2 linked regions of the Ovis aries genome follow. The protein of the gene in region 2 interacts with the protein of the main gene of each other region in a biochemical or structural test. Links are inferred from orthologs where the notes say so. Each region holds a gene or a part of one and is shown on either strand. Other genes may lie near its edges.

Region 1 (4,065 bases), on a different chromosome or scaffold from region 2:
TTTCATTATTCAGAAGATAGAAATCTTCAAAACCCTGCCAACAATTTCTAGTCCAATTTTCTACACAAAAATGAAAAAGCTAACTTCCCCCCCACAACACTAAACAGAATTTAAAAATGAACAGAAGACTAAATTAGATAATCAAAATATAAACCGTGTAATTAATGAAAACAATTCACTAGTGCAACAAATTCTTGAACACAGAAAAAAAACCAGCAAGCATTCTAATCAATTACATGGTTCATTTTTTGGGGGGGGGGAGGCATATTTTAATCTCAACTTTCAGCACAGTAAATTATATAGCTGATTTCATGGACTGTTTACATTTTATAACATTACATTAGCAACTCAAACATTACCCTTTCTAAACCAAATATGCAATCCTAATCAAAGTTTTCTTTTTTCCCCAGAAAAAGGAAAGGACATCTTTTTAAGATATATTCATAGCAATAGAAACATCTTAGTATTTCAAAATATTTACAAAGAACCCTGCTGATCCTGTGCATTTCGCTGAGGGGCTACCTGTACCCAGACTTCATCATCAGAAAAAGAACTTGAACTTCCTGACTCAGAGTCCAGTTCACTGAACCCATCTAAGTCCCATTCAGTACTAGACTCACTCCGTGCATCATCTTCCTCAGTGATGAAACTCTGACCAGGTTCAAGGCAGGAAGGATAAACCCGAGCACAGAGACAAATAAAGCCAGAGTCAAACTGCAGAAGACCTAACATGGTCCCTATATTAATCCACTGGTCTTCCCTTGTATCATATTCATACACAGTTACCCGGTTTTTTTTCCACTGAGGGGTTGTAGAAGTGATGAGGAGCAACTTTTGGCCATGATTGACAATCTGGTAGTTGTGGGTCTCCGAGTCCAGGGGAATATTGCTAATACGCCTCCATTCTCCCCGGGCTGGGTTATACACCTTCATGACTGGGATGTCACAGATGCAGTAGATCTCATCATTGAAGACACAGGCTTCCTGAAAGTCACTCCGTTTAAGAGAAGCACAGTTCAGCCACATATTATGGCTAGGATCATAGCAGAGCATGCGCTTACTATTCACAGCATAAAGATAGTTCTGAACCACTATGAGTTCAAAGGAATAGAAGGAATGTGGTACAGGAGCCACTAAGGCCCACTGGTTCCTCTGAACACTGTAGCACTCCACTTCCTTTAACTTCACTCCAGTAATGGGGTCACGCCCACCCAGGATGTAGATGTAGCCATTGAGGTATGCCACGTCCATGCCCTCCCGGCAGAGCAGGCGGTCGGCAAGTTGCTGCCAACTATTCTGGGCTGGTTTATACACCCAGAGATCCTTCCTGGGCTGGGCAGCTAGATAGATGTCATGGTCTGGAGAGACACAGACAGCTGAAGAGGTGACAGTCTTAGTGTGAGCCAAACTGGTCAAAGGTGATGGCATTGTGTAAATGTCCCCCGAGTATGGATCATAGCACAGAAAGGGATCTCTGGGATGGCCAAAGAAGATGACCATCTCCTTGGCACACATACCCAGCCTCTGGGGTGGATTTTCTGCTATGGACACAACAGAGCTACTGCTGCTGCTCTCTGGCTTGGGCACCAGGGACTTGCACAACATGTCACCATATCGCATCTGCAGGGCCCCTTCAACAAGGTCCAGACAGTACTTCTTTACAATGGGCTTGGTCAGCAGCTCTTCCACGTAGCCCCGATCTTCGTCAGTGAAGTGGGTCCAGCGGACACACTTGAAGACTTCTGCAGCGCTGGGACCCCGCTCCTTGGGAGCCGCCTCCAACCACTGCACCGCCACGTGACACACGGTCCGCTCACTCTCGATGTCTAGACTGTCCAGGCGCAGGACAGCTAGCAGCTGGGCCAGGGTCAGATCTGCCAGCGACTCTTCCCGAATCGAACCCATTCGGCTGAGCTGCTTGAAGTTGTGGGCTATAAAGGACTGGGCCTGTGATCGCAGCTTGTGATGGTCGAAGGCGTCGGCGAACTTGAGGATGGCCGTGCAGTTGGCCAGGTCAAGGCGGCGGGCTAGGAAGGAGGCACAGGCTTCCCGCACGTACTCCAGCTGCAGCATGTCGGAGGCCGCGTAAAGGCGCTGCACGTTGGCCTCACTTAATGACACGCGACCGGTGTAGCAGTAATCGACCAGCACCTCGAAGGACTCGGCGTCCACGTCGTGCATGGTCACGTTCGTCTGATGGCTCTCGTACATGCCGCCGGTGAACATGCTCTTGAAGTAGGGACACGCGGCCGCCAGCACGTTACGGTTGCAGGAAAAAAGGCGGCCCGTGCCAGGCCCGCTGCCGGGGGTGACCACCTCGATGGTCACATCACAGAGCAGCCGCGCGTCGTAGAAAGACTTGAGCTGGGCCAGCAGGGCTGCAGAATGGCCCGTGTCCTTCAGCTCCTCCGGGCCCGTGAAAAAAGCCGAAACTGAGGGCTTGGAAATCCTCTTGGGACGCCTCCCGCCGCGGGGACTGGCGAGGCGGCGAGAGCGCGGAGCTTCTTCCCGGGACTGCATGGTGAAGAGGGCGGCGGGGAGAGAAGGACGAGAACCGGGCTCTGGCGCCTCCTCGCTCTCTTTTCGCTGACGCCGAGACCGCTGTGTCCCTGAAAAGACTGCCGCGCTGACTTAAGTCAGCCCCGCTCCGCGGTGCCGCCTCCCTTTATCGCGTAGACAGTGCCTGACTCACCCGGTTCCAGTTCCACGCCCTTTCTCCGCCTCAGCTCGCCCTCACAGGACCTACAAACTGGAACCAAGCGGTCCGCCACCGCCGCGCTGGCAATACCGGTAGGTGCCTAGGAGAACTACAGCTCCCAGGTTGCCTTTCGCGCCTCGAGGCATGCCGGGACCCCGCGGACTCTGCGGCTTAGGCCGCCTCACAGGAGCCGCTGTGCATGTTGGGATCAGTAGTTCCAGTAATATCGCGAGGCTTCTGGGGGTCTACTGCTTTAACTAACAGAATCAGCAAGCGTTTATTCCAGATTTGATGGTTTAGAGCTGTGGGTTTGAAGTCTAGAGTGGAAGTCCCGTTTTAATATTCACCAGTTGTGTAAATTTTTTGTCAGAACTTTTCCCTGTCTGGAAATTGGGCATAATAGTATTTCATAGGATTCTGGGAGAATGGAATGATCTAAATTTCATAGGACATAGGATGCTTCAATAAATACTTGTTGATTAGATTAATAATTGTTTACACTGTGACTAAAATGCAAATATTGAGTAACTGTTGGCTTTTCATTTAGAATTTATGAAAAATGAGGCATCCACTTATTCGAAACCATGAGCAATTTCTACAAAGAAAACTGTGTTTACTGTTGCTTCTTGTAAGGCTCGGAGAACCGCGCTCTGAAAGGAACATTCAGGGACAGCCTCTAGTGGACTGACAAAGTTGATTATCCAGCTGCGCAGTTTTATAATTCTCAGGGAATAGAGCATAAGGCAGACTTGCACGTAGCCATTCCAGATAAACATTAAAGCATTCAAGCATAAAATACAGTTCCCACCACCTAAGACATAACGTGACTTTGGCAAAACTCTAAAGGGAGTCTTATCGTGAAACAACAGTCCTTGCTCCCAGGAAACAGGTGGTCATAAGGAAGCCTTTGAACGCTTCAAGGCCGGGCGTACTGACCCTTCGTCATCCGTTTCCAGCCTCAGGCACTCGATGCACGCTCATAACCCTCCGTTATGCTCGTTCCAGCTCCCAACCTTCGTCATAAGTGGAGCAAATACATTTTCCATGTCTGCTCAAAGCCTTCCAGCTCCTCCTTATCTCCTCCCTTTTTCCTTAAGAGCAAGGACTGCTGCAGCCACAGTTACTCCTGTTTTTTGGACGGAGGTGACTCGGGCACATAACGTTCGGAATCCTACAAGAACAATAACAAACAATAAACAGATCAGCGCATAAGTAGCCATCGTATGGGGTACCCAATTTTTTGGATTTAGAAAGGAGGTACTAGTGGATAGTGCATTATAGAAGTCAGTGTTCTATAACACAGGGGGAATGCTGCTGAAGGTAGATGTGATTTGTTGCTTCAATTTTTCTATATCTAGACTGTTTGA
Region 2 (3,231 bases):
TCAGACAGGGCGAGCCATTGCCAACAGATTCATCTTGCTCTGCTATAAAAACAATTCAGAACTCCTATGAATCTAGCCAAACATGGCTGCTCCTCTGCATCCACAACCCAAGGGGAGGGATTTATACTTTTGCATAGTAATGCTTTTACAAATGGGCTTCCCTGGTGGCTCAGATGGTAAAGACTGCCTGCAATGCAGGAGACCCGGGTTCAATCCCTGCCCAGATTGCTCAGTGGTAAAGACTATGCCTGCCAATGCAGAAGATGCGGGTTCAATCTCTGGGTCCAGAAGTTCCCCTGGGGGAGGAAATGGCAACCCACTCCAGTATTCTTGCCTGGAGAATCCCCATGGACACAGGAACCTGTGAGCTATAATCCATGGGGTTGCAAAGAGTAGGACACAATTTAGCAAATAACAACAACAACCTTTTCCAAATGTCACACCCAAAGCTGCTTAACTGACATGCCAAAATACACAGCATTATGTGTTTTCTTTGCACCACTCAGGAAATTCTTAACTTGAAATTCATAGCAAACTGAGGCATATTTACTTAGCATTTTTGAGCTAAGAATATTTTTTTCTAGTTTTTAATGGGATGGTCTCACAGTCTGAGCTTATCTATGAGTTTGAAGATATTTCAAATCGCCAGAAAAATGAACAATCTTTTAGCCAGTTTTTAATAAATTTATCTTATTTACTAGAGAGAGACAGAGAGCTATGATAGGCAGATTCTTCGATTTCTTTTATTATTATATTTTTGATTGTGATAAAATATTATTTTAATCATTTTTAAGCAATCAGATCATGGCTTTAAATACATTCACATTGTTGTGCAACCATTACCAGTATCCATCTCATCTTCCCAAAGGAAAACTCTGTCCCCATTAAAGACTGATTTTCCCATCCTCTCCTTCCCCTAATCCCTGGAAACCAGCATACCTTCTATCTCTATGAATTTGACTATGCTAGGTACCTCATGTAAGTGGGATCATATGGTATCCTTTTGTGACTGACTTATTTCACTGGACATACTGTCCTTAAAATTCATCCATATTGTAGCATTTACTTGTCAGAATTTCCTTCCTTTTTAAAGGGTGATTAATACTCCATTTATAGATGGACCACGTTTTGTTTATTCATGTGTTGATGGACACTTGAGTTGCTTCCATCAGATTCTTTAGCTTCTGTGCCTTAGTTTATCTGTTATTAGGGAATGAAATGGAACAAAGACTGAAGCTGTATATTAAAAAGTTAGGTAGTGACTTTTCACTTTCCTTGAGGTCCGTAATTAATAATCTGCATGCCCATGCAGGGGCCACAGGTTTGACCCCTCATCTGGGAACTAAGATCCCACATGCACTGGGACAACTAAGCCTGTGCAACCTAGCTGCTGGAGCCTTAGTGCCCTAGAGCCAGTGCTCCACAACAAGAGAATTCACCCTAGTGAGAAGCCCAGGAATAGCAACTAGAGAGAAGCCCCTGCTTGCCACAACTGGAGAAAGCCCACATGCAGTAACAAAAACTCAGCATAGACAAAAATAAAGAAATAAAAATTTTCAAAAAAAAGTAATGACCAGATATAAATTCCTATTTTAGCAGTCACTAGTATAAGCAAGCAAATAGATATAAATGACACTTTGAAAGACTCCGCGCAGCAGCAGGAGTGGAAGTTAGACTGCCTGTGCTTCTAGAGTAACGTTTCAGGGCAAGTTCTGCCTGCTTCACAGTCCCACAGATTCCTGGGCTGCTTCCAAGATCTACTAAACCAAAACCTGTAGGATGGAGTCCACTTGCAACAGGACTCTCCTAGGTAATTCTAAAGTTTGAGGGTAACAGCCCTGGAGTAGGGAGGTGGGGGCATCTTGGGTAGATGGGCTTACACTGGCCAAATAAAAGTAAGCAAAGCTGTGGGTCAGCGATCATTCTCTTCTGGATTAACTTTTGCTTCTGGGTTAACTTTCGCTTCCGGGTTAACTTTTTCCCTTCCTGTCTCCTGCACACCCTCTTCCCCAACCCAGGAGCCGCATGGTCCTAGGGGCCACTGAAGCCTTTTACTTGCTGGTGAACAACAAGAGCCTGGGAAGTATGAATGTGACCATGGCAGAGATCTACAGGGACTACAAGGACGAGGATGGCTTTGTCTACATGACCTATGCCTCCCAGGAGATGTTTGGCTGCTTGGGATCAGCAGCCCCTGAGGATGGGAGCAGCCTTGGGGAGGACAGGCCCTGCCATCCTCTCTAGCACGTGTGCTGTAACCAATGCGTTCACCAGTGCAGGAGGTACGGACTGCTTTGTGTGTGTGCAGTGATGATCCGGGGGCAAACCCCCTGCAGTGATAAGCACCAACCATGACAATGAGGCAAGACCTGCCGTGTTTCCTTTTTTGTGCTCACCCTCTTTGGTGGCTCTTGAAAATTTTGGAAATAGTCAGTCTTTTCTGAGAAAGAAGTAGTTAACTTGCTCAGTGAGCTGGGGAGGTATTTTAAGTGTTTCCTGTGATGGAGGCCAAGCTGGAGGCCCTGGAGGTATGTGATCTGCCTTGGTGGGCAGGAGTCCTGAGTATGCTTGGGCATGGAGATCCTGTGACCTGTGGATGGTCTCCATGGAGCCCGGTGCAGCCATTGTGAACTGCCTCATTTGGGGGCGGTGAGGGTGGCGGGTGGAATGACTGCAGAGGGGAAGTGGCCTTATCTATGTCATTAAAGAGATTATTGTTATTTGCACAGCATTCACTTGACTTGGTTGTTTCCCCTTATATTCTTTTAGTCTGTCTGTGCCCCTCACAAAGTTATGCCGAAGTGGTGACTGCTCAGTTTCAAATAATTTAAGTGATTAGTTTTCCTTACAATAGAAGTTTGTGAGTGCCATTTCTTTGGAGCATCTGAGCTGATTGCCAGCATGCCCACGGCTGAACACAGTGCCAACAACAGTGTATTTTGTGAGTGCACACAAAGGATGATGGGTGACAACAGAGAGCATACTTCTTGGTGGACACCTCCTGCAGAGGAATACTCAGTGGCTTCTTTAACAGCAGGTGCCTGCCCATTCTGCCCACCTCACACTGCAGCTTAGAAGTGGATCTAGGGAGCAGACCCTGCCCCTGACAGGGCTGTGACAACCCACAGAGCCATGAGAAGGCCCCAGCCAATATCCAGGGAAGGCTTGGATCACCACAACACCAATTATATCCCATACCCAGGGGATAAGGGCCAGCAAACACTGAGGAAA

Evidence for each region.
Region 1: the proteins of MAP1LC3C (region 2) and KBTBD7 form a complex in vitro, tested with the Homo sapiens proteins (2 studies listed by BioGRID and IntAct, with this or other methods). The link is inferred for Ovis aries from reciprocal best matches to the Homo sapiens genes MAP1LC3C and KBTBD7.

The regions. Positions count from the first base shown.
Region 1 is NC_056063.1:11,789,708-11,793,772, forward strand, and holds the start of KBTBD7 (kelch repeat and BTB domain-containing protein 7), read right to left. Parts: upstream 2,801-4,065; 5' UTR 2,521-2,800; coding exon 478-2,520; 3' UTR 1-477. UniProt on the Homo sapiens protein: As part of the CUL3(KBTBD6/7) E3 ubiquitin ligase complex functions as a substrate adapter for the RAC1 guanine exchange factor (GEF) TIAM1, mediating its 'Lys-48' ubiquitination and proteasomal degradation.
Region 2 is NC_056065.1:34,210,538-34,213,768, reverse strand, and holds the end of MAP1LC3C (microtubule-associated proteins 1A/1B light chain 3C), read left to right. Parts: intron 1-2,018; coding exon 2,019-2,244; 3' UTR 2,245-2,731; downstream 2,732-3,231.